Stegostoma tigrinum: one gene and its partners. The protein of the gene in region 4 interacts with the protein of the main gene of each other region in a pairwise test. Links are inferred from orthologs where the notes say so. Each region holds a gene or a part of one and is shown on either strand. Other genes may lie near its edges.

Evidence for each region.
Region 1: the proteins of alas1 (region 4) and thymosin beta-10 interact in binary tests that used the Homo sapiens proteins (3 or more experiments, as listed by UniProt). The two-hybrid records come from large-scale screens. The link is inferred for Stegostoma tigrinum from reciprocal best matches to the Homo sapiens genes ALAS1 and TMSB10.
Region 2: the proteins of alas1 (region 4) and lonrf1l interact in binary tests that used the Homo sapiens proteins (3 or more experiments, as listed by UniProt). The two-hybrid records come from large-scale screens. The link is inferred for Stegostoma tigrinum from reciprocal best matches to the Homo sapiens genes ALAS1 and LONRF1.
Region 3: the proteins of alas1 (region 4) and cdc73 interact in a two-hybrid assay, tested with the Homo sapiens proteins (3 studies listed by BioGRID and IntAct). The two-hybrid records come from large-scale screens. The link is inferred for Stegostoma tigrinum from reciprocal best matches to the Homo sapiens genes ALAS1 and CDC73.

The regions. Positions count from the first base shown.
Region 1 is NC_081356.1:13,022,631-13,029,381, forward strand, and holds thymosin beta-10, read left to right. Parts: upstream 1-4,889; 5' UTR 4,890-4,967; exon of another isoform or gene 4,968-5,012; intron 5,013-5,753; exon of another isoform or gene 5,754-5,754; 5' UTR 5,755-5,764; coding exon 5,765-5,864; intron 5,865-5,946; coding exon 5,947-5,981; 3' UTR 5,982-6,236; downstream 6,237-6,751. UniProt on the Homo sapiens protein: Plays an important role in the organization of the cytoskeleton. Binds to and sequesters actin monomers (G actin) and therefore inhibits actin polymerization.
Region 2 is NC_081354.1:109,818,006-109,825,939, reverse strand, and holds the start of lonrf1l (LON peptidase N-terminal domain and ring finger 1, like), read left to right. Parts: upstream 1-4,921; coding exon 4,922-5,480; intron 5,481-7,934.
Region 3 is NC_081361.1:34,774,191-34,782,139, reverse strand, and holds the start of cdc73 (parafibromin), read right to left. Parts: upstream 3,019-7,949; 5' UTR 2,973-3,018; coding exon 2,842-2,972; intron 1-2,841. Other genes in the region: glrx2 (glutaredoxin 2), read left to right, coding at 3,517-3,582.
Region 4 is NC_081364.1:23,022,685-23,029,779, forward strand, and holds the start of alas1 (5-aminolevulinate synthase, nonspecific, mitochondrial), read left to right. Parts: upstream 1-4,072; 5' UTR 4,073-4,415; intron 4,416-7,095.

The DNA of each region.
Region 1 (6,751 bases), on a different chromosome or scaffold from region 4:
CTTTGATAAGGTTACTCCTCAGCCTCCAATGCTCCAGGAAAACAGCCTATTTAGCCTCTCCCTGTAGCTCAAACCCTTCAGTCCTAGCAAAATTCTTGTGTACTTTTCTGAACTCTTTCAAGTTTCACAACATCTTTCATATAGCAGGGAAACATGAATTAAACGCAATATTCCAAAAGTGGCCTAACCAATGTCCTGTACAGCCACATGACGTCCCAACTCCTATACTCAATGCACTGACTAATAAAGGCAAGCGTACCAAACGCCTTCTTCACTATACTATCTACCTGAAACTCCACTTTCAGGGAACTATGAACCTGCACTTCAAGGTCTCTTTGTTCAGCAACTCTTCCCAGGGCCTTACCATTAAATGTACAAATCCTGACCTGATATGTCTTACTAAGATGTAGCACCTCACTTGTATCTAACTTAAACTCCATCTGCCACTTCTTGGCTCATCGGCCCCACCTGATCAATGTCCAGTTGTACTCATAGGTGACTTTCTTCGCTGCCGACGACACATCCAATTTTGGTGTCTTCTGCAAACTTGCTAACCATACCTCCTATGTTCACTTCCAAATCATTTGTTTAATGGAGAAAGGCAGTGGACCCAGCACCAATCCTCTGGCACACGGCTGGTCACAGGCCCCCAGTCTGAAAAGCAACTCTCCACCCTCACCCTCTGTCTCCTACCTTTGAGCCAGTATTGTATCCAAATGGCTATTTCTCCCTGTATTCCATGTAATCTTATCTTGTTAACCAGCCTACCACATGAAACCTTGCTGATTGCCTTACTGAAGTCCATATAGATCATGTCCGCCACTCTGCCTTCATCAATCCTCTTCGTTGCTCCTTCAAAAAACTCAATCAAGTTAGTGAGACACAATTTCTCATGCACAAAGCCATGTTGACTATCCCTAATCAATCCTTGCCTTTTCAAATAAATGTCAATCCTGTCCTTCAGGATCCCTTCTAACAACTTGCTCACTGCTGATATCAGGCTCACCGATCCGTAGTTCCCTGGATTTTCCTTCCCATCTTTCTTAAACAGTAGCACCACGTTAGCTAACGTCCAGTCTTCTGGCACTTCACCACTAGCTATCAATGATACAAATATCTGAGGAAGGGGCCCAGCAATCACTTACCTAGCTTCCCACAGAGCTCTTGGGTACACCTGATCAGGTCCACCTTTATGCATTTTAAGATGTCCAGCATCTCCTCCTCTGTAATACGGACATTTTTCAAAATGTCACTATTTATTTCCCCAAGTTCTCTCACTTCCATATCTGTCTCCACAGTAAACACTGATTGCAAAATGCTCATTTAGAATCTCCCCCATCTTCTGAGGCTCCACACATAGGCAGCCTTGCTGATCTCAAAGATGCCCTATTCGCCCCACCCCCCCAGGTTACTCTTTTGTCCGTAATGTATTTGCCCCACTTTTGGAATCAGCTGTTTTGTCTATGTTTAAGCCAAGGATGTAATGAGGTCATGAGCTGAGTGTCCTTAGCAGACCCCAAATCTAATATCAGCTAATTGACAACTATCTCTTAATCGCTCTTGATATCTGATCATTGGACAGGTTGGATTTGTTCTGCTTTTTGTTACAACATACTTAGGTACTTATCCAGCTTACTGGGCCAATGACAGTATTGTAGCTATACTGGAATACTTGGCTTCGGACTTAGCAAGGTCTGGAGCTCAAGTCTTTGGTATCGTTGCTGGAATATTGTCGGGGCAATAGCCTTTGTAGTATCTAATGCCTTCAGCCATCTCTTGATATCATTTGGAGTGAATCAAATTGGCTGAAGACTGGCATGCACGATGCTGCAAACCTCAGGGGAAGGATGAAATAGATCATCCAAGGTGGATGTAAATGCTTCAATGTTGTCTTTTGCACTGAGATGCTGGGCTGTCTCATCATGGAGATTATAGACATTCCCTTGCAAAGGCAACGTTATGATCACCACTGCCAATACACACGTGGTCAGATGTACCTGTGACGGGTAGGTTGCTCAAAATAATGTGAATTAAGTATTTCCTACTTGTTACATCCCTTGCCATTCGCCTTAAATCCAGTCTACTACATAATTTGGAATTTCACGAGAATGGCTATCTCTGGCTGTTGCTTGATTGGTTTGTTGTTGACAGAATTGACAGGGCTGAGTTTGCCATTATAGTTTCCTGTGGCTTGGTTGATGCTGGATAATCTGTCCGATTTAATTCCTTTTAGGCTTGATAGTGGTTTGATACAACTGAGTGGCTTGCTAGGACCATTTCTGAAGGGAATTTAGAGTCAATCGCATTGCTGATGTGGCAATGTTGGAAAGACCTCTGTATAATCCTCCTAGAGTGGAAGTCTTACGTTCAAACTGAGGATGCCTTATACCCCGTTGTCAATTCTACATGGCTACAGAAAAATCAGGACTGGTAATTACATGCAGCAGGGTATAAGATATTTAGATAATGAACAAATTGAGTTCAGTCTATGAATGAAGTTGAATCAATTAGCAAATGAGCCATTTAGAAATTAGAGACTGTAAAAAGTGATCAGTGGAGCAGCTGTATTTATTAGAGAGAGTACATTGGCAGCAGAAAAAAAAATTGGCGCAGCCATCAGTAAAACAGAAATAGCATTTTTGTGGATAGAGATAAGGTATAATAAGTTACAAGTTATAATAAGTTATAATAATGTATTCATCACTATCAATAAGGTAGTCTATAGGCTACCTAATAGTAAAAAGGAGGTGATGGAAAAGCTATACTAACAATTACGGTAATTAGCAAAAAAAATTATAATTGAGGAGTTCAACAATGCTGAAATGGTGAATGTGCAGAATCCTTTCTAACCCAATATGAATAAAGGCCAATAAGGGGAGATTCACTATTGGATCTGGTAGTGAGGAATAAACAAGAGCAGATAACACAAGTAAAAATGGGGAGATATTAATGCTTAACTGGATGGAACTTAGGTAGACTTTCAGAAGATGCTGCATAATATAGAGCATGCAAACTTAAGTGATAAGTAGCAGAATGGATAGATAGCGGGCTTCAAGACAGTAAGCAGCAGGTAGGATTGGGGGATAGCTGTTCTAAGTAGCAGAAAGTGGGCAATGAGCAGTTTTGGGAACTCTGTGGTTCACAATCTCTATGTGCTTTGGAACTTAGAATTGAAAACACAATTTCAAAATTTGAATATGACACCAAATTGGGGAAATGGTCAATAGGGAGGAGAGCTACAATGGAGCTCAACAAGATCATACAGATACAGTGCTCCAAATATGGAACCTTCTGAAGCGAGAATTATTTGGGATTTTGAATTTTAAGGTGATGATGTAAGATGAATGTGAAGGAGCAACTTTTACGCACAAAGGTTATTAGAAATCTAGAACTTTCTCACAAATAAAGCTGCTGAGGGTAGATAATTTGGATATTTCATTACTAAGACTGTTAGAATCACACAGCATAGGCCCTTCAGTCCCATCAAATCTGCACTGACAAACCTACTCTAAATCGATACTAATCTCACCTGTGAGGTGTCTCATCAACTAACCTCACTTGTGCAGATTCCCACTAGTCTCTGGGTGAAAGTCTTTTTCCTCAAATCCTTCTTAAACCTCTTGTGCTTCACCGTAAAATTATGTCCCCTTGTTAATGACCTTCAACCAAGAAGAACAGCTGCTTTCTATCCACCCTATCCATGCTCCTCATGATCTTATCTCTCTCTATTAGGTCCTCTCACATAATTCTCTGCTCTAAAAAAAGAGCCTATCCAGACTTTCTTCATGGTTAAAATGCTCTAATCCATGCAATACCCTGGTGAATCTCCTCTGCACTTCCTCCAATACAATCGCATCCAACCTATAGTGTGGTGACCAGAACTGCACACCGCACTCCAGCTGTGTTCAAAACAAAGTTTTGTACAGCTCCATGCCATATTTGATAAGATTTGCAAGTGTCCCATATGCATTAAAACTTCCATATTAACCTGTCATACCACCTTCAGGGATCCCTCGGTTTCTCTGAGTTTCCATTGCTCTGCCATTAGGTTTCTATTAGGTAAGGGTATGAAGGGATGTGGAACTACTCTTAGTAAGTGGAGTTCAGATACAGCTACTGTAGATCAGTCAGGAGATAATTGCTTAATGAAACTGGCTGAATAGGGCTGAATGTGCCACTTCTGTATTGGGTATCAAAGCTTTGCACAGTCAAAACTAAAGGTGGAAAATTTGCCCAACAGTTACAACTGGTCATAAAGGGCCTTTGATGTACCCTAGAGTCTGTGGTAATTTGCTTTGCAGAGCTGAACCTGATGCTCTACAGGAGTGATTCACCTCTGGCTTTGCTGAATGAATTAACAGAGTTGACCAGGGCCTTTGGTAGGCGGTTATATCGAAGGTGCCATGAGGATCCCCATAAGAATCATAGGTGCCACAATGGGGCAATCAAATGAAAATCAAGTCCAAGCAAGGACAAAGGAAACATTTCCAAGTAAATGCAATGTTGACAAGGCACTCTGAGCTGTTCAACAGTTAGTGGAAGGCAAATTCCGAGTCCATTTTTCCCTGGAGCTTTTGTAGTTCTGCCTGCTTGCACCTAGCTGTGCCACAATCCAAGGTTACAGCTTGGGAGGGCACCTGATCAATTGTCTACATGCCCTTCCCTCTCTCTCTCTCCACCCCCCCCCCTTTCTCTCTACCCCTATCTATGTATCCATCTATCCATCCCTATCGCATCTCATCCATCCCCAACCCCGTCCCCATCCCCATCCTTCTCCCTTTGTCTCTTCTCGGCTTCATTGATTAAATCGACACGATCTCCCGCCCCCGCCCCTTGAACCATATAAGAGCAAGAAGGGGCGGGACGAGGTGGGCGGGGCAGGCCCTGGAAGGGGCGGGTCCCGGACTCTATAAAAGGGCTGAAGCGGCGGCGGTGGCTATTGTTCGTGGATCGAGCGGCGGAGAGCGGTCAGTGGGGGCTCGGAGGGAGAGACACAGACAGACAGACAGACGGTACGGAGGGAGCGGCACCGCCCCGGGGGGTAACCAGGGAGCGATACGATACCCCATCCCACACAGATCCCCACCGCCCACCCCGGGGGTACAGAGGGCGCAGCACAGACTCTTACTCCCCCACCCAGACAGACCCCCACACACCTCACCCCCTCAACTGGGGGGGGGGGGGGTAATGAGGGAGCGGCACCCCCACCTCGCGTCTACCTTCTACCACCCCTCACCGGGCTTGCCTCCCCAACCGTATCGCTCGGTTCTCACTCCGCGGGTGAGGGATGGGCCCCTCGTCCCGCCGTCTTTGTCTGGGAAATCCCACCATAATGTGTCCCGGAAGGTGGGTGGGGGACGCTTGGAGATAGGAACGGGGGGTGCTGAGTAAGAAAGTGGGATGGCGTGGGGAGGGGGTGTGGGCAGTGGGATGGTGTGGCGTGGGGGTGCTGAGTAAAAATGGGATGGTGTGGTGTGGGGTGGGGGTGTGGGCAGTGGCGTGGCGTGGGGTGGGGGTGCTGAGTAAAAAAAAGTGAGGGGGGTGTGGGCAGTGGGATGTGTGGGGTGTGAAATTTGATGGTTTGGGGCAAATGGGAATGATATGAAAATAATTCTCTCCTTGTTGTTTACTTCATTTATTGCGCCTGTGACATGGAGAATTTTGGAACAAGAGATTCTTTAAACTCTGTATTCCATACTCTGCCAGTGCTATAAATGTACAGGCTGGTGTTAAGGCTAACTTTTTTCCCCTCAGATTTACTGAAATGGAAGAAAAGCCTGACTTCAGGGAGGTTGCCTCCTTTGATAAGAGCAAGTTGAAGAAGACAGACACAGAAGTGAAGAACACTCTCCCTACAAAAGAAAGTAAGGAATGTGTTGGGATTGTTACTTCCTCCAGCTGTTCCCTCAATTAATTTAATCTGAGTTTAATTTATTTCTTTTCCAGCTATTGATCAGGAGAAGAAGGCAGAGAGCAACTAGATTGTGGCCATACCTGCCGAGAGTCAACTCTGTCCATGGCTGCAAGAATCTCTAGGGTGCTTTTTTTCTCCTTGCTTTTTTTGAGAAAAGAAATCACTGATCTATACTGTGAACTGAACTACTGACAGAGGTGAAGCACTACAAAGTGAAGGATCTGGGGCTTCTCATCCCCTGTTTAGTCATTTCTGCTGTGGTCCTCATGCATTCCTCGGTGCTGTAAAGGAAATGAATAATAAAAATTCAATTTGTGCTGAATGTTGTCTTTCCTTTGGTTTCAGCAAGGCTTCACTTGTTTTAAATTTCCTAAGTAGGATCAGATAAGAATAGAAGTGTAAAATGATGATGAAATTGGGATAATTTGGTACTAGCCTAAAAGTTTGTTTGGCATTGTGTTGGCAGAATGACAGACAGACTCTGTACAGGCTGTCTAAACCTGTATCGAATTTGAAGCTCTCAATATTCAGGCCCTTTTAAACTTACCAAGCAGTGCATTACAGTGGACAGCCTACTGTATCTGCTTGCACTATTCATTTTCATCTGAAGAATCTAGCTTAATTGGTTAGAATCCAACTTCCCCTTCAGGATTCAAGGAGTGAATGCCCTGAGTATCCAGAAATGACATTATTAAAATTAATTCTGAGAAAGAAAATAAAGAAACTTGTTATCCATTCTGTGCTTTTAATTGGGAGCTGTGTATTTGTGCTGGTGCTGATGCAAGACATTTGCAATTGGATTAATGTCTGATAAGAGCACTTCTATGCGGTTATTAT
Region 2 (7,934 bases), on a different chromosome or scaffold from region 4:
CATTGACTCCAGTTTTGCTTAGACTCCTTGAAATCACATTTAGTTGAATGCAGCCTTGATGTCAAGGGCTGTCACCCTAACTTCACCCTCTGGAATTCTGCTCTTTCATCCATGTTTCAACTAAGGCTGTAATGAGGTCTGGAGCTGAGTGGCCCTGGCGGAACCCAAATTGGGTGTCACTGAACAGGGTCTTGCTGAGCAGGTACTGCTAGATAGCACTATTGATGACATCTTCAATGAGTTTACTGACAATTGACAGTAAACTGATGGAGTGGCAATTGGCTATGTTGGATTTGCTCTGGTTTACTGGCCACATTCCTTCAGATCTGTCTCAGGCTTCTTATCTCTAAGGACAGTGTGAATTCTACTAGTCGTTGCACCACATGCAGTTTATTTTATCAAATTCAGTGCTTCTTCTAATATTTCCCACTGTCCTAATTAGATGCGTGAAAATACAGAAGATAATTACTTTTGACTAATTGCTATAAGGTTAATTTCTATTATAAATCTAGTTATAAAAACTAAAGTTGTGCAGCTACTTACACTCTTAGCACGTTGTAATTAATGGGTTGTGAACATTCTATCTTGCTTAGGGCATAAGATTAAGTGTTTCCTGAGCCTAATTAACTTTCACATCTAGGTTTAAACGCTTTTCCGCTAATGCTTACATTATACGTTGTTTATATATTGAAAACTACTTCTATGATTAAGGATACTTAAACTAGAGTCTATTTAATATTGCAGATAGTTTCAAAGAAGCAACTATTTACTACAAAGTAACTTTAGCTGTTTACTTTTGCAGTTGCCGAGGGACTTAATCTAGGACCTCATGCTATTCATTTACTGGAACAACCATCCTTTTAAAATAAGGTTAAAATTAGTCACTTATCTGTCCTTAGGCATCCTTTTATCAGAGCTTCCTCAGATGGGAGCACACAGCATTCCTTTACTGACCTTCTGTCTGCTTTGTTCAAAGGTACCATCGTATATCATTGTGTGAACAGGCTGCTTAGTTTTGAAAAGCTTCTGTATGCCATTTTGTAAGCAGGCATGGACTATTTTGCCCCTCCAAGTACTACTTCTGAAATGTGGTGAGCACCCATGATCTTTGCAGTAACAGAATGATTTGGAGACCCGTGGCTGAGGTACCCTGACATACCATCAGTCACTCTGTCAAATTGTCAGTCTGTCATTCAGTCATTCTGTTAGTCAGCCTATAACCCAGGCAGTTAGTTTGTATTTTCCCTGACTGTCCCAAACGCAGTCAGTCTGCAAGATAACAAAGTGTGGAGCTGGATGAACACAGCAGGCCAAGCAGCATTTTAGGAGCACAAAAGCTGACATTTCGCCCTAGACCTTTCATCAGAAAAGGGGGATGGGGAGAGGATTCTGAAATAAATAGGGAGTGAGGGGGAGGCGGTCTGAAGATGGATAGAGGAGAAGATAGGTGGAGAGCAGAGTATAGGTGGGGAGGTAGGGAGGGGATAGGTCAGTCCGGGGAGGATGGACAGGTCAAGGGGGCAAGATGAGGTTAGTAGATAGGAAATGGAGGTGTGGCTTGAGGTCGGAGGTGGGGATAGGTGAGAGGAAGAACATGTTAGAGAGGCGGGGATGAGCTGGGTGGGTTTTGGGAAGCACTGGGGGGAGGGGAGATTTTGAATCTTGTGAAATCGATATTGATACCATTGGGCTGCAGGGTTCCCAAGCGGAATACGAGTTGCTGTTCCTGCAATCTTCGGGTGGCATCATTATGGCACTGCAGGTGGCACCAGGATGGACATGTCGTCTAAGGAATGGGAGGGGGAGTTAAAATGGTTCGCGACTAGGAGGTGCAGTTGTTTATTGTGAACTGAGCATAGGTGTTCTGCAAAGCAGTCCCCAAGCCTCTGCTTGGTTTCCCCAGTGTAAAGGAAGCCACAACGGGTACAGCGGATGTAGTATACCACATTGGCGGATGTGCAGGTGAACATCTGCTTGATGTGGAAAGTCATCCTGGGGCCTGGGATGGGGGTGAGGGAGGAGGTGTGGGGGCAAGTGTAGCACTTCCTACGGCTGCAGGGTAAAGTGCCGGGTGTGCTGGGGTTGGTGGCAAGTGTGGAGCGGACAATGGAGTCCCGGAGCGAGTGGTCTCTCCAGAAGGCTGACAAGAGTGGGGATGGAAAAATGTCTTTAGTGGTGGGGTGGGATTGTAGATGGCGGAAGTGTCGGAGGATGACACGTTGTATGCGGAGGTTGGTGGGGTGGTATGTGAGAACTAGGGGGATTCTTTTTTGGCGGTTATTGCGGGAATGGCGTGTGAGGGATGAGTTGCGGGAAATGCAGGAGACTGTGTCGAGGGCGTTCTCGACAACAGTGGGGGGATCTTGCGGTCCTTGAAGAACGAGGACATCTGGGGTGTATAGGAGTAGAATGTCTCATCCTCAGAGCAGATGTGGCGGAGGCAAAGGAATTGGGAATAGGGGATGGAATTTTTGCAGGAAGGTGGATGAGAGGAGGTGTATTCTAGGTGGCTGTGGGAGTCGGTGGGCTTGAAATGGACATCAGTTTCTAGCTGGTTGCCTGAGATAGAGACAGAGAGGTCAAGGAAGGTGAGGCATGTGTTGGAGATGGTCCAGTTGAACTTAAGGTTGGGGTGGAAGGTGTTGGTGAAGTGGATGAACTGTTCGAGCTCCTCTTGGGAGCATGAGGCGACGCAGATACAGTCATCAATGTAACGGAGGAAGAGGTGGGTTTTAGGGCCAGTGTAGGTGCAGAAGAGGGGCTATTCCATGTAACCTACAAAGAGGCAGGCATAGCTGGGGCCCGTGTGGGTACCCATGCCCACCCCCTTTGTCTGTAGGAAGTGGGAGGAATCGAAAGAGAAGTTGTTGAGGGTGAGGCCAAGTTCGGCCAGGCGGATAAGGGTGTCGGTGAAGGGGGACTGGTCGGGTCTGCGGGACAGGAAGAAGTGGAGGGCCTTTAGGCCATCTGCATGGTGACTGCAGGTGTATCGGGACTGGATATCCATGGTGAAAATGAGGTGTTGGGGACCAGGGAATTGGAAATTCTGGAGGAGGTGGAGGGCGTGGGTGGTGTCATGGACGTAGGTAGGGAGTTCCTGGACCAAGGGGGAGAAAATGGAAGCCAGAGAGTTGGAGATGAGTTCAGGGGGCAGGGGCAGGCGTAGATAATGGGTCGGCCAGCGTAGGTGGGTTTGTGGATTTTGGGAAGGAGATGGAAGGGGGCAGTGCGGGGCTGGGGAACAATGATGTTGGAGGCTGTGGGTGGGACGTCTCCTTAGGTGATGAGGTGTGAGTGGTTTGGGAGATGATGGTTTGGTGCTCGGGGGTGGGATCATTATCCGGGTGCGGTAGGAGGAGGTGTCGGAGAGTTGGTGTCTGGCCTCGGCGATGTCGAGGTCAGTGCGCCAAACTGCAACTGCGCTTCCCTTGTCTGCGGGTTTGATGGTGAGGTTGGGGTTGGAGTGGAGGGCAGCACGTTCTGCAGGACAGAGGTTGGAGTGGGTGAGAGGGGTGGAGAGGTTGTGGCAATTGATATCTAGAGGGCAGTTGGAGATGAAGAGGTCAAGGGAGGGTAGGAGGCCTGAGGGTGGTGTCCAGGAGGAGGACTTGTGTTGGATTTCACAAGCTTCAAAATCTCCCCTCCCCCCACTGCATCCCAAAACCAGCCCAGCTCATCCCCACCTCCCAAACTTGTTCTTCCTCTCACCTATCCCCTCCTCCCACCTGAAGCCACACCTCCATTTCCTACCTACCAACCTCATCCCGCCCCCTTGACCTGTCCGTCCTCCCCGGACTAACCTATCCCCTCCCTACCTCCCCACCTATACTCTCCCCTCCACCTATCTTCTCCTCTATACATCTTCAGTCTGCCTCCCCCTCTCTCCCTATTTATTTCAGAATCTTCTCCCCATCCCCCTTTTCTGATGAAGGGTCTAGGCCCGAAACGTCAGCTTTTGTGCTCCAAAGATGCTGCTTGGCCTGCTGTGTTCATCCCGCTTCGCACTTTATTATCTCAGTTTCTCCAGCATCTGCAGTTCCCATTATCTCTGTCTGTCTCATATTCAGTCAGTCTCTACTCTGCGTGTATGTCCCACGCTCAGCCTTTGTCTGTTTGTTTGTCTGTCCCACACTCAGTCAGGTGGTACTTTGCCTAACTGCCCCACATGGTCACACTATATTCTGTCCACCTGCCTGTCCCACACGTCACATTGTTCTCCCCTCAGTCTGTATTCTATGTGTGCCACACCCAGTCAGACTGTAATCTGTCTGCCTGGCCGACCTCACCCACACTCAGTCTGTATTCTATGTGTGCCACACCCAGTCAGACTGTAATCTGTCTGCCTGGCCGACCTCACCCACACTCAGTCTGTACTCTGTCTGTTCTACACCCAGTCAGACTGTAATCTGTCTGCCTGGCCGACCTCACCCACACTCTGTATTCTATGTGTGCCACACCCAGTCAGACTGTAATCTGTCTGCCTGGCCGACCTCACCCACACTCAGTCTGTACTCTGTCTGTTCTACACCCAGTCAGACTGTAATCTGTCTGCCTGGCCGACCTCACCCACACTCAGTCTGTACTCTGGCTGTTCTACACCCAGTCAGACTGTAATCTGTCTGCCTGGCCGACCTCACCCACACTCTGTATTCTATGTGTGCCACACCCAGTCAGACTGTAATCTGTCTGCCTGGCCGACCTCACCCACACTCAGTCTGTACTCTGTCTGTTCTACACCCAGTCAGACTGTAATCTGTCTGCCTGGCCGACCTCACCCACACTCAGTCTGTACTCTGGCTGTTCTACACCCAGTCAGACTGTAATCTGTCTGCGTGCCCCGCCCTCTCCCATGTTATGAAACTTTTGCCGCAGTTATTTTGTACTGTTTGTACAGCCTTCTCCCCTCTCTCGGTCTCCTCCAATGACAGCTGCGCTCTCGAGCACGTGCCAGCCGCAAGAGGGGCGGAGAACGCATGCGCCCGTCACTCGAGCGATGTCAGTGGTTCCGTGCGGAGCTCTTGTTCCCGGACCCACCGGCGTTGTCCATCCCGGGAAGAAGCCTGGGCCCACGGCTGGGGAACAAAGGTCATTGCGGCCTGACCAGTTGCGTGACCTGGTGCACTGTCTCCTGCACCGCTTCAAAAGAAGAGCTGGCGGCCCAAACGGAGCTGGTGTCCCGGCTGGGGAAGGCCTCCTGGAGTGTGGCGGCTGTTGTGGGGAGTTGCTGGCCGAACCTGTCACCCTGCGCTGTGGGCACACCTGGTGCCGGCGCTGCCTGTGGAGGAGACCTCGCTGCCCGGCTTGTGGCGAGGAGGTGGCCAGCGCTCAGTTTCTGCGACCGAACGTCATTCTGAGCCACTTGATTACTAAGTGGTTCCCGGCGGAGGTCAGCCTGGCCCGGGATAAAATCAAACTGGAGGAGCTGCTGGCCCAGTGCCGCTTCTCAGAGGCATTGACCCTGCTGGAGCAACTGGAACTGAGTGAGTGGGGACACTTGGTGTACTTAGAGGTCTCTTTAAGGTTCACTCCCTGTGACTGACTGTTCCCGTTGTGTAAACGGAACCGTGTGTTTTATAAATGGAGACTGCCCCCGCCAAGAACTCAACTCCTCCAGGAGACTGATTGGCGTATTGTTTCTTTTACGGTTTTTGCACTTTGATTTCTGCTCTCGGACCGTAAGGATGAAGCAATGACAACTTCTGTTATTCATAGGCGTGCAGCCTTTCCCTTCCAAGAGGGCGGTGTTCTTGTTATGTAAACAGTACTTACAGTTGGTTACTCAGAAGTGACTGTGACACTTTGTTGCGTTGAGTCCCGTTTATTTGCCAGGGCATTTCTTGCAGCTTCTCTTTCTGTATTCTGAAATAATCGTGCAATCAAATAGGTTAAAGTGGAGTTTGTCGGGGGTGGTGTAAAATGTGGTAACCGTGATCAAATCATTTACGTTTTCAAAATTCAGTGGGCAGTAAGAGTTGCTTCTATTGTGTGACATCACTGTTTCCAGTTTTTAATCGGTTTGAGTTTTGATTTGCACTGGATCATACTGTACTTGCATTCTCAGACGGTAATGAAAACAAGCGTCCAACTAGGCAGTTAAAAATGTGGAGAGATGACTGTCGAGAAAGAGGAATTGCCAGACCAAATCACAAGCTTGAGAGAAGTCAATAGTAATTAAAACTGAACAAAGTAATTTGTTTTCAAGATTGAAAATGTCATCTTCCCAGAATTTGTCAGACCATGTTTTTTGCCTTCATGAGGTGTAGAAAAAGACATGACTGAGACAGTGACCCTTAATGCCTATCATTTTATTGCTCATCATTGTCCTTGAACAGGTGGTGGTGAACTAGCTTCTTGAACTACTGCAGTGTTACTCTCATCACAATACTAAATCTTAAAATATCCCAACTCCTAGTTGTTTCTTCATCATACTGCTGGAAGATTGCATGCTCTTCATTATTATTGCAGATTAGGTTTACCCAGTCTATGCATAATTGAATTCAACCAATATTATTGTATCGCTCTCATTAAATACATTTCTAATGTCCTGATTTCTACTGTGCCCAACGTTACTACTTGTACTGTTTGGTGGCCTGTTTTTTTAAAAAAAACTTGTCAATATTTGCTGTCCATTTCTGCTCCTCACCTCTCCTACACCTTGATCCTTCAATGTAGGTTCCTTCCTAACTATTATACTGATCACATTCTTCATTAAGAGCACTATCCCACCTCATCTGTCTTTTCACTTATGCCTCTGAAATGTTGAATAATTGCAATTCCCAATTTTGGTTACCCTTTAGTTACATCTTTGTAATAATAAATAAATTATACCTGTTAACTTGAATTCGTGTCTTTAAAACAGCAACTTTATTTTTAATCATGTGTACATTGATAGGGTACCTTTAATTCTGCCTTTTTAACATTATTTTGCAGTCTGCTATTTGATGTTTGCTTTCACAACTTTTACTTTGTAATTTTGTGTATTACCCCTTTATTTCCATTGCAGTTTTGTTTCCTCCAATGTGATTTCCCACAGTGGTTCCTTTTCATCTGCCAGTCCAGTCTAAACCCTGCCCAACTGCGATAGCAATTTTCCTTGTAAGGATATTAGTCTTGGCTCCATTTTGATGCAGGTCCACCATCTTATTGAGGTGTCCTTTGCGCAGAACTGGCCCTGATGCCCGCATTTTGAATCAATCAGTCAATCTATTCTTCTGTTCTCATGCTGAACTGGGAGTAATGATGTCCTCGTTCTTCAAGGACCGCAAGTCTCTCTCCCCACCCCCCCCCCCCCCCCCCCCCTGCCGGTGGTCGAGAACGCCCTTGACCATGTCTCCCACAACTCATCCCTCACACCCCACCCCCCACAATAACTGCCAAAAGAGAATTCCCCCTAGTCACCTCCAACCCCACCACACCCGGCACTTTCTGCTGCAACTGCAGGCAGTGCTACACTTGCCCCCACACCTCCTTCCTCACCCCCATCCCAGGCCCCAGATGACTTTTCACATCAAGCACATGTGTACCTGCACATCTGCCAATGTGGTATACTGCATCTGCTGTACCTGTTGTGGCTTTCTCTACATGGGGGAAACCAGGCGGAGTTTTGGGGATTGCTTTGCAGAACACCTACACTCGGTTTGCAATAAACAACTGCACCTCCCAGTCGCGAACCATTTCAGCTCCCCCTCCCATTCCTTAGACAACATGTCCATCCTGGGCCTCCTGCAGTGCCATAATGATGCCACCCATAGGTTGCAAGAACAGCAACTCATATTCCACTTGGGAATCCTGCAGTCCAATGGTATCAATGTTGATTTCACCCACCTCAAAATCTCCCCTCCCCCCCACTGCATCCTAAAACCAGCCCAGCCTATCCCGACCTCCCTGACCTGTTCTTCCTTTCACCTATCCCTTCCTCCCACCTCAAGCCACAC
Region 3 (7,949 bases), on a different chromosome or scaffold from region 4:
CCCCATGTATTTGGTTTACAAACATGTTAATTCTCCAGACATTTAGTTTGCTTTACCCAAAAGTCAGAAGTAAAGACCTATTAATCCACTAAATCACGATTTTGTTTCTAATTAAAAATCAGATTTGATGAAAATACTGAGGACCCAAGTATAACATACCAACTTATTGGGTTCATTTTTTGATGTATTCTGTTCAATATCATAAGGGCAGTGTAGAATTTCCTTTAGAAGAACATATCTCAAACCAAATCTTGGCCGTGACATGGAATGGTATACTGTTGACTTTTACTTTAGCATAGAAAATGTGAAACATTCTGTGCAATTTTAAAGTGACTCAAAATTTGACATTTTATTGTATCCTGAAACAAATGGTGAAAAATCCAAAGAAGCATTAAACCAACTTCCTGAATGGCGCTCATGTGGATGGCGAAAATGCACACAATTCCTAGATAAACTCTAGGTTGCCTGCAAAAATTATACTTTGAAAAGGAGCAAATGTTTCCATACTGGTAAGTAATTAAAAATCAGACAACTCATACTGTCATGAGTTCAGGAACTATAACCAGTTTCACCCTTGTTGAGCAACAACAGGGCCTGGAATTCTGTTACGGTTTCCCCTCCAGATTATAATTTATGATCTCAGTTCAACACAGATCTGTAGAATTCTAGCAATGGAAGTACTAGTCTAAGATTCTTAGCAGCCAATTCACCTGCCAATACTTACTGGTTGAATTAAAGAAAACTAAAACGGATTACACAGTTCTGTATAATCAGTTGAAAATGTTGTTTAGAGCTTTGCAAGAATTAGCTTTAGGTAACAAAGCAGCAAACTGGTCCAAAATTCTTAATGTGGGAAAGAAAAATCAAACCTTAAAATATTCACGTTTTTCACTTTGCTTACAGTTCTCAAAAACATTTACATACCATAAATGATTTTCTGGCACAGGGCTCCATTGTAGTCTACGTCACAACTAAAAGCAAAAGCAGTGTACTAACAGATCCTCCTAGTCCTCACCCAATAGCTACCATCAAGAAGTGCAAACCCAACATATAGGCACTGTTTTAGAGTTCTTATTGTGCTCAGGTTTTGTAAGAGTCCTAACAAATTAGTACTAAGTAAAAGGTTCACACCCAAATACAAAACTGTTTGACTGCAGAAATGTACTAAATAGTAACAGGAATCTGTCACTGAAAAAATTCACAACTGTTACTAATATATTTTTAGGAATACAATTAAAAAAGCAGGACTGCTCTTTTTATGAGCTTCACAGACTGCAGGACTGAACAGTTTTGCGTAAAATCAGTTTTACAATACACTAACAGCTCTTTCTACTCCTAAGATCAGCAAAATTTAATTCTCTCAAGACCTGTCATAACATACAGTTCACAGTCTGTGGGATTGACAACAACTTCTTCAGGAGGCAGCGACTGGCACCGCAACTTGTGGTTGAAAGAACGCAGAGCTAACTAACTAATACACTCAGTAATTTGTTAAATAGACAACTGATTCACCAACACCATAATTTACACACTAATCATGGTAGGTAATTAATTCAATAGCTGAGTATTTCACTAACCACATAACTAATCCACTCACTAGAATAACTAATTCACTAAGATCAGAATCAATAATCAAAAATTGGTTTGAAAACAGAGCCAACTTCTCTCTGGTCCATTGCACCCGATCGTTTGGGGTCACCAGCAGCTGCTATAGTTATTGCTGTCCTTCCTGCAATTGACACACGATTCCAAATCAATGTCAAAGCTGCTTCCCAAGAAGGGTACTCATGTTGTCTAACAGCTGGAAACTATCACACACTAAATTTTTAGCAAGCAACAATTTCAGCTGTAGTCCTGCAAATATCTGATATTCTGAACACACTTAATTATCTGATATCAGTATTATAATTGGGATACATCCTATGACGAGAAAGTGTACTCTGTATCAAGCAATCGCAAGGCCTAGTTTTGAAATTTTCTGAAAAGTTACTTTGGAAGCTGTTTGGATGGTCTTAAAATGTGAATCATCTGGCTCACTAAAGCATCCTCCTTTTGTTGAATAACTTCAAAATGCCTCAAAAGCATTTGATGTATTTGGCTTTTAGCAGTAACTATTATGCAGTGAAACAGAGGGGCTGCTTGCATTTCCCAGTCAGTGATACGAGCTAGCATATGGAGAGTGCATTGTTCTTCCAATAAAGATAAAGAGCCCTTAAAATGAAACAGAGCCACCGGAAACAGCACACAGCAATTCGATTCAACATCTCCTCCGACAATCGGTGATTTATAATATAAACTACAACGCATTCAATCTGGTGGACGAAAAGTCTTTTGCACATTTAAGAAACTCGGCTACAACACCTCTGCAAAAGAAAATCGCGTGCGTTTGTTTAAAAAGCAGCTTTGATCAATTAAAGTCAAGCAAACAACTTAACAAAAATTGCAAAAAAAAGTCAAGAAAAGTTTGCGGCAACAGCTTCTTCGCCGAATTTGTTCAGATAGGGGCGCGATCACTCTGATCTGTACTTTTTTTTGTTGCTAAAGAGTGATACAAGTGTCAGTTTCCCCAAGCCACGACGGCTGACCGTACTGAATAAACAAACATAATTCCCTCCATTTTCTGTTTACAATTGACAATGAAAGTGACTTGTTAGGTGATATGATCAGTGAAATTGACAGGTGTCCGCCAGTAGCTCCACTGATCCCGCACATGCTGCTCAAACTCAACTCAACTGCACTCCACTCCACTCACCCCAGGCTGCACCTTCCCCGACCACCCCACAATGTTTACCTTCCACCCTCCACATCCATCCATGCAGCACTCCCGCGGACAGCACTCACCCCCAGATCACATAATTCGTCTTCACATTCTTCGGCCAGGAGAACTCTCCGAAGATGACCTCGTCCCCTTTCACCACAATCTCCTTCTTCTGGATGTTGTATTGACGCAGTACGCTCAGCACGTCCGCCATCTTGCCTCGGCTCCTAACAACCGGGTCCTGAGAGCCTGGGCTGCCCCGCTGCACTGCCTGTCGAGAAGGGAAGAGGGACAGGACCCTCATGCTGCCCGGGCAGACTGCCTGAGCCGGCGGATGGGCAGGCACGGATGTTAGCACTGTGGTCGAGTGGAACTGCCGTCTAATGATCTAAATCAGGAGACTGCAAGGGGTGGGGAAACGAAAACACACGCGTAGGGAAACTTTCATTTTGATGGGGGACTGGTGATCAAGTGGTTGCTGAGTTTGCAGGATCTCCATTGACAACGGCATCTACAGGAGGCGGGGACTGGCGCAGCAACTTGTGGCTGAAAGAACCCAGAACTAACTAACTAATTCAGTAATTTGTTAAATAGACAACCAATTCACTAACGTGATAATTTATGCACTAACCACGGTAGGTATTTAATTCATTCGCTAACTAATCCACTCTCTAGAATAACTAATTCACTTTGTTTGCCTTCGTGGCCCACACAGCTTGCTGTCAGCCTCGATTAAAGTGACAGTATTATTTAAGGTGATGGATAAAGATTCCTTCAATCTTCTGATGGTCAATCTTCTGGTAGAAGACACTAGTTTGGACAGTGTAAGTTTGACCAATAACATTTCGAATTATGAGTCGCAAAGAAGTTTTATACACATTGACGAATGAGAAAGACTGCACATCCTTTTGGGATGCATGATTGTGAAGTGTGATTTTATTAAATACAAAAAAAGTTAATTGACATCAAACCACTGTCAGCATAATCAAATCTATCACGATGCTAATATCTAGTGGTTTATAATGCATATGAGTCAGACATATATGCTGGCCGTATTTAAGACATTTCATGAAAGTGATTTTGATTTAGTTCACTGATCAGCAGTTATGCCTTATTAACTGTAGATTAAAATTTGTGATAAATACCTTCCACACCACTGCTCCAGTGAATCCAGATTTTAGCTTTCATTCTACATTAACTCATCCATGCAGGCAACGTTACCAACCTCTGAAACAAAGAGTCATTTATCACCCTCTTCCAATCAGTCTCATTGCTCTCTCACTTATTCTGAACTCCACAGATCCCTTGTACCACTCGGAATTGACTTTAAAACTCTCACCATTACTTAAAGTTTCTCCATGATCTCACCTAACTCAAAACTAGTGACTTCCAGATGTACTATTACACATCTTCACTAACGATGGCCTTTTTATTTGTCCCTTTTTTCTGCTACACCACCATAATGTGTTCCTTTAACATGAGACTGCTTCTGTTATCTAGCTTCCTGCACATAAGCACCCTGAAAAAAATTCTATTAAGCTATTTCCTTAGTTCCTCCCTCAATCTCTTCACCTTCTCTTTTCTCTTTGCTGTTTATTTTTCTGTTTAATGTAAAGCTTGGAGATTTCTTTTCTGGTATGAATGAATGCTGTGGAAATGTAAACTTGTGAAATGAATAGTTGCATAACAAGGTCAGGCAGAGCTAGAATATTTGCAGTGTGATCAATATTTGTGGGTTTTGATCAAGTCAGTCTGTTTATAATGTTATTATACATCTGTGGAGTTCTCAGCCTGCTTCAAGTTGCGAGTCATCAGAAGTTTTTGAGACCATCACTGGATCATGATTGAACATTGAAGTATTGTCAGTTGAGTTGAGCGGTGGTGTTGGTGCATTATTACGCTGCCTTCAGCTGAATGCCAATTTAGTGCCCAGCCAACCAAAGTTATGTCTGCTGCAAGCACCTGAGCCCCAGGCCAGGTGACTGGTGAAGATATGCCAGTCAATCAGAATTTCATTGTGCAGCAGATCCTCTTGGATTCTTAAGGAACAAAAAGGAGGGCAAGGCTTGCAGGAAATAAAGAAGGATATTACAGATGGGGATTACATGCTCTGGCCTGAATATTCTGCTGTGAAAAGGCAACATCACCATCTCCAAGGTTAAGGAGGTGTTGAGCAGTCACTTCATCGCAGATGTTGTATACAGAAATGCTCCCCTGAGATGAATTAACATTTAGTCCCGGTAATAAAGAGTGAGCTTCTGGCCATCTATAGCATTTCCCATTGCTCCTGGCAATGTCCAGGCCGGTTATTCTGCTCGGTGACTTCAACTGCATTATTGATGTGGCTGGACAATCCTGAAGAGCTGACAGATTCCTGATGGAAATAGTTAAAGAAGCCAAGCTGTATCAGAAAGTCCTTCATTGTCAAAGTGTCCAGAAGGTGAGAGAGAGAGATGGGGAAAACTGTCCAATCTACAGAAAAGGTTGCAAAACCACTGCTGCTACAGACAATGGATGTCAATGTCAAGGGGGAACTCAAAGAGATAAAGAGCCAGTAAGCCTTGTTTTTTGCCTTGAAAGCCTCCATGATTAAATGCTATTCCAGGGTCCGCACAGTGAAACAGGATGGGACATGCTCACGTTCGTTCTTCCAAAAGGTGCACAAGGAGAAATCCATGACCAACAGCCTGAAGAAGGAAGATGGCTCGATAACGTCACCTCAGTCAGATATCCAGAGGCCTCCCAGTCATTCTTGTCTTCCAGTACAATTTCTTAGAAGACTGCACACATGAAAAGTTAGAGCAGCCATTATCTCTGGATGAGCTGACCAAAGCCCTCCAGTATTTTGAGAAGAGTAATGCTCCTGGAAGTGACAACCTTCCAGTTGATTGGAATTCGGCTCTGTGGGACTTGATTGGCCAGGATTTGCTGGAGGTGTATAGCAGTATGTGTTTGAGAGGTAACATATGCAAACGCATGAGGAGTATCATCACCCTCATCTACAAGTAGCAGGGGGAGAGGGAGGAAATTAGAAACTGGTACCAATTTCACTGTTGACTGTGGATTACAAAATCCTACCTGAGATCATCACCAAATAGGTTGCGTCTTCTCTGTGATTGGTGATTCACTCCAACAAAATCTGTGCTGTCTCAGGCAGGAAGATCTCAGACAGCCTCGTGCTCCTCTGTGTGCAGGCCATGGAGTGGACACCTGGTTCCTCAGTCTGGACCAGGAGAAGGCCTTTGACAGGTTTTTCCACACTTACGTGAGAGATATACTGTCCAAGATGGGCTTTGGGGAGGGAATCTGCAATTAGATCTGATTGCTGTACACCAACATCAGTTGTGCAGTCTCAATCAATGGAACAACTGGGAGGCTGTGCTGTGTGTAGGCTTTGTGTCATACAATCTGGCATAAAAGGATTTTCTGATCCTCAGATGGGAATCAGAAAACTCCCTGATCAAATATGGGGTCAGGCAAGGCTATCAGTCTGTCCTGCCTTGCTTACGTGTTACATAGAGTCTTCAGTAAGGATGTAAGCTTGAGAGGGGTAATTATTCACAAGAGCAGAGGCTGCAGGTCCACGCCTCCTCATACATGAATGATGGCACCATTTTCTGCTGTAATCTGCTGTCAGTGCACAGATTCCTGAGCATCTGGGATCAGTTCAAACTGGCCTCAGGAGCCAAGGTACATCACGGCAAGAATAAAGCTGTGTTTTTTGGGAAGTGGGTCAGTTGAGCCTTTTTCACCTTCATCGTCAGGTCAGATTACCTGATGGTGCTGGGACTGTGGTTCAGAAGGACTGAGGCATGCACCCAAACTTGAGAGGAGTGTATTTCCAAAGTGAGGCAGAAATTGAACTGATCGGAGCACCACTTCCTCTAAATTGCTGGTAAAATCTTGGTCATCAGGTGTGAGGTACCCTCCGTGTTGCCATATACGGCACAGGTCTTCCCCGAGACTATGTCATTGAAGTCAGATGTGCCATCTTCCACTTCATCTGGAGATCAAAGAAGGTCTGTGTTTGTGTGGACAGCATGTAGAATGTTGCCCTCAATCTCATGGCTACCTTCACGTGTGGCTACATCAAGCTATGTGTAGATCCTCAGTATGCAAACACCAAGTGTCACTTCATACTAAGCTTCTACCTGTCCCCAGTGTTGCAAAGGATTGGTCTGGCCTCTTTGCTGTGGGACACTTCAAGTAGCTGGACTATTCTGTCTCACCTGTCCCTTGTGGAACAATTTGCGAAGGAAAACACCTTTGACCACAAGTCCATCATGTAATGTCCTCATGAAAAGGAGAGGGTTGATCCTCTCAGGTGGTTCACCAGTACTTTACAACAAGCACTAAAATGTAGCCAACTACTCTCCACTACCACAAGCTGCCCTCAAAGCGACTGCAGCAGGGAGAAGACTGTCACACATCTCCTTCTGGAATGTGCCTTTGCAGAGAAATGTAGGTTTTTGTTAAGGTTCGCCCCAAGCAGCTCCATGACACAGGACTCTGTGTTCTACAGCCTGTTCGCCAGCACATACAGCAAGACAAACATTGGCTGTGCCTTGAGGACCATCAACAGGGTGAAAGGAAACTTATTAGTCTTCCACTGGAAAGAGTTCACCTTGACCATGTGTTGCAGACTGGCACATTTCAAAGTCCAGGACTGTGTGCTGAAGGAGACAGTAAGGCTCAGGGTAACTGCTGCCAAAGTTCATTGGGGAAAGACCACCGTCCGAGGTCTTCCAGCTAAAGTATAATGACCGTCCATTCAGTTTTCAGATGCTCTTCGTTCCTCAAAATGAGTGCAAATAGTTCCTGCTTGATTGGAAAATACCTTTGTTTTGCACCTGCAAGGAAGTTCTCAGCAATGTCAAATTCCAGTGCGTGGTTATGTTTTCTCGCAGATTTTACAGAATTGTCCTGGGACCTTTCGCATCTACTTACAGATTTTTCTTTCACGATAAAGTGTATTTTTGCAATAAACTATCTGTAATCCGCTGGAGTAGTTGGGATTTGAACTGGGGTTGTCTCGGTTAGAGGTAGACAGACTACCGCTGTGCCAATAGCAGTCTCGGAGTTTAATGGTGTACACAGCATGCAATGCATTGTGACGGAACCTTAGAGTTAATGCATATGATGGCTAGTACTAGTGCTAGCACAGCCTCGGAGAACTGCGGTGAGAGCAAGT
Region 4 (7,095 bases):
TGCTGGAGAATCCAAGATAATAACATGTGAGGCTGGATGAACACAGCAGGCCCAGCAACATCTCAGGAGCACAAAAGCTGACGTTTCGGGCCTGGATCCTTCGTCAGAGAGGGGGATGGGGTGAGGGTTCTGGAATAAATAGGGAGAGAGGGGGAGGCAGACCGAAGATGGAGAGAAAAGAAGATAGGTGGAGAGGAGAGTATAGGTGGGGAGGTAGGGAGGGGATAGGTCAGTCCAGGGAAGACGGACTGGTCAAGGAGGTGGGATGAGGTTAGTAGGTAGGAGATGGAGGTGCGGCTTGGGGTGGGAGGAAGGGATGGGTGAGAGGAAGAACAGGTTAGGGAGGCAGAGACAGGTTGGACTTCTCTTTCGATTCCTCCCACTTCCTACAGACAAAGGGGGTGGCCATGGGCACTTCCAATTCCCTGGCCCCCAACACCTCATTTTCACCATGGACGTCCAGTCCCTATACACCTGTATTCCACATGCAGATGGCCTCAAGGCCCTCCGCTTCATCCTGTCCCGCAGGCCCGACCAGTCCCCCTCCACCGACACCCTCATCTGTCTAGCCGAACTCGTCCTCACCCTCAACAACTTCTCTTTCGATTCCTCCCACTTCCTACAGACAAAGGGGGTGGCCATGGGCACCCGCATGGGCCCCAGCTATGCCTGCCTCTTTGTAGGTTACGTGGAACAGTCGCTCTTCCGCACCTACACAGGTCCCAAACCCCACCTCTTCCTCCGTTACATTGATGACTGTATCGGCACCGGCTCTTGCTCCCCAGAGGAGCTTGAACAGTTCATCCACTTCACCAACACCTTCCACCCCAACCTTCAGTTTACCTGGGCCATCTCCAGCACATCCCTCACCTTCCTGGACCTCTCAGTCTCCATCTCAGGCAACCAGCTTGTAACTCATGTCCATTTCAAGCCCACCAAATCCCACAGCTACCTAGAATACACCTCCTCCCACCCACCCTCCTGCAAAAATTCCATCCCCTATTCCCAATTCCTCCGCCTCCACCGCATCTGCTCCCAGGATGAGGCATTCCACTCCCGCACATCCCAGATGTCCAAGTACTTCAAAGACCGCAACTTTCCCCCCACAGTGGCCGAGAATGCCCTTGACCACGTCTCCCGCATTTCCCACAACACATCCCTCACACCCCGCCCCCGCCACAGCCGCCCAAAGAGGATCCCCCTCGTTCTCACACACCACCCCACCAACCTCCGGATACAACACATCATCCTCCGACACTTCCGCCATCTACAATCCGACCCTACCATCCAAGACATTTTTCCATCCCCACCCTTGTCTGCTTTCTGGAGAGACCACTCTCTCCGTGACTCCCTTGTTCGCTCCACAGTGCCCTCCAACCCCACCACACCCGGCACCTTTCCCTGCAGCCGCAGGAAATGCTACACTTGCCCCCACATCTCCTCCCTCACCCCTATCCTAGGCCCCAAGATGACTTTCCGTATTAAGCAGAGGTTCACCTGCACATCTGCCAATGTGGTATACTGTATCCATTGTACCCGGTGTGGCTTCGTCTACATTGGGGAAACCAAGCGGAGGCTTGGGGACCGCTTTGCAGAATACCTCGCTCAGTTTGCAATAAACAACGGCACCTCCCAGTCGCAAACCATTTCAACCCCCCCTCCCATTCTTTAGAAGACATGTCTATCATGGGCCTCCTGCAGTGCCACAATGATGCAACCCGAAGGTTGCAGGAACAGCAACTCATATTCCGCTTGGGAACCCTGCAGCCCAAAGGTATCAATGTGGACTTCACCAGCTTCAAAATCTCCCCTTCCCCCACCGCATCCCAAAACCAGCCCAGTTCGTCCCCTCCCCCCACTGCACCACACAACCAGCCCAGCTCATCCCCTCCACCCACTGCATCCCAAAACCAGCCCAGCCTGTCTCTGCCTCCCAAACCTGTTCTTCCTCTCACCCATCCCTTCCTCCCACCCCAAGCCGCACCTCCATCTCCTACCTACTAACCTCATCCCACCTCCTTGACTTGTCTGTCTTCCCTGGACTGACCTTTCCCCTCCCTACCTTCCCACCTATACTCTCCTGTCCACCTATCTTCTTTTCTCTCTATCTTCAATCCACCTCCCCCTCTCTCCCTATTTATTCCAGTTCCCTCTCCCCATCCCCCTCTCTGATGAAGCGTCTAGGCCCGAAACGTCAGCTTTTGTGCTCCTGGGATGCTGCTTGGCCTGCTGTGTTCATCCAGCTTCACACTTTATTATCTCAAGTTTAATTGGCTGGGATTTGGCAATTAGCACAACTCAAAAATTCTAGAGTAAAAAAACCTGTACGAATTTAACATGAATTCCACTGGGTGTATTGTGTAACAAAGTTAAGTGGAAATGTGTTGATTTTCACGTTCATACTTTTGCACTGATTTAATGTTTTCTATGGCAAACAGTGGTGGCGTGTTGTACTAGTAGTTTGTTTTTTTTTTAAAAAGGCATGATTTGCAAATGAAAGAAAAGCAATCCCTGGACACCCATACGTGATGACTTGACAGCAATGAATTTGTAATGTACTGACAGGCTCGTTCACATTTTTCACAACACTGGGGCATCCAAAGCCCTTTGTAACTTCCGGGGTAGTTTTTAACTGTAATTAATGTTGAAACTCCGTAGGTTATTCGTTCATTATTATTGCATCAGAAGTTGCTTGCTAACTTCCCCTTGCGTCAGTATCTGAACACGTACACTTCCAGCAATTCCCCAACGATCAGGATTGGAGTTCCCCCTTCCCCGCTCAGTTGCTATTCATGTGAAATGAATTGGACACAGTCCAAGTCTCCGCTTTGAAAGTTTAAACAGACTTGTTTTGGTCTGTCTCTTAGCATTAAAAAAAATGATTTCTCTTGTTTTGTCCCTGTGTGAGGATTAAGTTAGTGAATTGTAGCATTTTTCATTGCCTTGTGTCAGTGAATGAACAAATTGCATATGCATCACTCCAGAGATCAGGTACTAAAACATCACCAGCACGTGTCACTCAAGTTTGGAGGAAAGTGTATATGATTTCGCAAGCCCTCTTGAGATATCTTCATATTGTGTGAGTGAGTGCTGGAAAGGGTCATTGTGCAGAGTACGTACAATTAGGGGGCCTTTCCTGCATTATCTTGGCCTGGCCCTGGACTGTGAAGTGGCAATGCACTCGCGACTTTCTGTGACCCATCTGCATTCCAGCCCGAGAGAGTAGAAAGGATGATCCCTCAAAGAAAGCAATTTCTTCTCGAGCTGTTGGGGAGTTGACATGCAACTGTGCAGGTCGTCACAAAAAATTATATAGTTAAGCCTGAGAAGGTGGTGCTGTGACAGTAGTACTGTCAATGAGCTAGCAATCCAGAACCACAACACTAACGTTTGGCTTCATGTGGTGCATGCTATGACATGTACAGGCTGCAATGGGATCATGTTCTTTAATCCGTTCTCAAGTTGACTTGTACTCCAGTCTGAACGTGATTGTAGGACAATATGAAATAGCTTTCTTTTAAGTACAGGAAATATTTGTATGTCAGATGTTTAAAATTACACCTTAGTATGGGATCATGTTCATAAGTTGGATGTTTGCAAATTGGGGGGGCCCCAGGATATCAACAGGTTAATTACAAATCTGGTTGAGGAGGTGGTGGTACAGTGGTAATGTCACTGGGCCAATCATCCACAACCTCCTGGTGATCTAAGAGCAGAAGTTCAAATCACACCAGGGTGAATGCTGTTAAAGGGGAGGGACGGCAGTTGTGCCACAACGGTCCCGTGGACCCAGGTCCAAATCCCAGAGGTATGTTTGTTTGTCAACCCACGGGAACAGGATGATCTGAAAGAACATCTACACTAGAGGGCGCATGAGCTTCAGAAGGTTTGAAGTCAGTGGGCGGGGACAGGTGCGTGGATAGGGGCGGAGCAATTTGGGGAAGGGGCGGAGATAGCTGGGAAGGGGCGGGGTCAAGGGCTGGGGCGCGGTCGACTGGAAGGTGGGACTGACGGGTGGGGCGTGGCGGACGGGGAAATCTCGCGATATTCGTCTGCTTTGCTTAATGTTATTACCGGCGGTGCCGCGCGGCTTCTCTTCAGTTCGTCCTCAGTGCAGGACAACGAGAGCGAGCGACCCGGTTACAGTCAAGGTGGCCCTCGGCGTAGGACAACAGCGGGAGAGACCGAGCTATTTACAGTCCAGTTCGTCCTCAGTGTAGGACAACAGCGGACGGGACTGAGACTATTACAATCTAGCCTGGCTCAGTCGCACACCGCACCGATAGCCGAGGCATAAGAAGTTGCTGGAAAAGCTCGAGCAAGTCTGGCAGCATCTGTGAAGAAAAGAAATCCGAATTAACGTTTCGGGTCCGCCGACCCTTCCTCAAAACCGCTATCCGTAGCATTAATAACTGGTAAGGCACAGACATCTGTCGGTGTTTTCTTCCAAATGGGATTTGTTGGCTTCCTGCCTATCCGCGGCGACTAGGCCCTGTTATCCCGGTTACTCCGGCTGTGCTGCTGCCTGCTCCACAACAGGGACAAGGAGAGGGAGAGGTTCCCTTTTGCCTGGGGGATGGGATGGGAGGGGAGGAGAGGCGATAACCTTTAAACCAGCTTTAGCCAAGCAGTAGATTTATGGGCTCGGACTTCACGGGGTCTCCGAGGTGGGCTCCTGTGTCGTGCTTCATGTTCTCTTGTTTATGAAGCTGAAATGTTCCTCAGTTTTTTTCCAAACAAATGATCAGCTTGTTGATTCTCTTCCGCTTTCCGTCCTTTCACGTATACGGGAACTGTGGCTCTGTCAGGAATCATGGGCCCAACTGTTTAAAAATTGAGAAATGTTGGGGTTTTTTTCCGGGTTTTTTTGCCCTACATGGAATAGATCAAATTCTTTCAGAGGCGGATAAAGGTCATGTAAAATGTTAGGACCGCTCAGCTGATTAGGTTGCATTTGTAACGGTGGAATACAGGTGAAGAGTCATACGCCTGAAATGTGGACTTGGCTCCATTCTCCACAGGTGCTACTGATTTGAGTCTTTTCCAATGCTTTTCTGATTCCTCTGTAGTTGATGTGCTACTTATTGTAAAACTCACCTACTTTGTGTTTTAAATGAAGTGTCCTTTTAGGAAAAAAGGATATATATTTGCCAAACTTGTACCTGTTTATGTTGAGTACTCTAATGTCAAAATGTGCTAATCTTTAAAGTGCATAACTACCTGCCATACTTGTATTCTTTAGATGAATTTACAGGAGTCTGATATTCTATTTTGTATTCTGTTCACAATGCAGGGATTAAATAAACTCTACCTGAAAGTGTATACCTGCAACTATGAACTAGTTTATGGAGAAATACATTAATTTCTTGCTTAGATGTGTGATATCTATGTGTGAGAGCATAGATAGGTTATATGATTTTTAAAAGAATTTGAGGGTGAACAACACAATAATGCAAGCTTTGTCTTGTAAAGAAAATGCTTTGACTGCAAAGCAGATATTTTCAATGAACACTAATTTCAATCCCTAACATTAATTTCTGTCAGTGGCTTTGCACATTTTTTAGCTCAATTTTACAGCTCTTTTGTGGATAATTCACAATTTCAGTTGTGAACTGATGTTAGCACTTCCAAGCTATTTTCAGTTTTGAAAACATAGAAATTTTAATATGCCCAATGTCTCATTCTAGTTCATTGGTTAAAATAAGTGATATTACTGTGTCAAAATGCAGCTACTGTGAATGTTGCTCTTTAATAACACCGTTTACTTCCCTCTGACCTATTGTCACAGTTTTGAGAGCTATGAATAATAGACTTGCTCATCATGTTGCATCATAACATCATCAATCTGCAGTAAGATACAGTAGACTGGTCCTTTGTGACTCTGGCAGTTCCACAAGCTAATTGAAGGAGGAAATATATTGCAGAAAGTTATAATTATCCCTACACTTGTAATTTTGCATTTGACTGTACTATGTTTTTGAAATGGTGCGAGAAAGATACTGTAGGTGGGGTCTGAGCTTTGTGCTGTTTATGTGCACATCCAACTTGGATGCCATTAGACAATCTAAATAGATACAGTATACTGTTTCCTCCTTCACATTTGCCAGAAGTCTGGCAACAGAAAGTTTCAACATCCTGTTATGAGCCTATATTTCTAATATTTGGATTTTATTTTTGAATCGACTCAGATTTCTTTTTAAATGTTGAAGGCTCCCATTAGATAAACATTCTAAAGATTTGAATTCAACAATAGTCCAGTAAATCAAGATGTTAGAGCTTAACTGTTGTGACTAACTTAGAACAACGTGCAATTGATACAAATTCTGAAAAAAAAATTCTCAATGTAGCCTAAACAATGGTAGGATATTACCTTATTGGAGGTCTTTCAGGTCTCAAGTTCCTGGGAGTAGCTTATTTACTGTAGTATTCTCTACAAAAGTTGACTTTGTTTTCACCCCTGTTATCACTTTCAACCTGAGGGATCATTTGAGACGGAGCTTGTCTGACTGAGCTATAACTGAATCTTGCTTTAGAGATTACCGCTGACAGAAACATTAAACAGTTAGTAATCAGGCTTGGGGAGTGGGGGAGGGGGGTGGTAAATATCTAGAAAATGTGAGATTGTGGAAATTCTAAGTGGAGAAGTTTTAAAAAGTGGTGTTTTTGTTTGATCTGTCATTGGAATCTCTTGTTTTTAGAATCCCTAGGATCCAAGGAATTTCAAGAGTTTGAGTTAAAAATTGAATGGGCTTGAGATTTTCGCAACTGCCAGTTTTAAGAAAAAAACTCTGGAATATTTCCTAGTAAAATAGAATTTGAGCTCATTTACTGTAAATCAGTGGCCTTGGAAATTAAAAGACTGTTTAGTGCAGCTGGCGACTGGTACGGCTCCATGAAATCCTCATTTAAACAGGAGTTTAGCTCATTCAATTATCTGACGCCAGAGTGTCCGTAATTTATAAGAAATATTGAGAGATTGATCTGACATTGGTAAAACTAGGAGTTGTCACTTTATTTTCTTGTCACAAAGGTTCCAGTTACACTCAGGTTATTTTTACAGCAGGGTGAGAGGATAAAAGCTTGAAATTTTTAAGA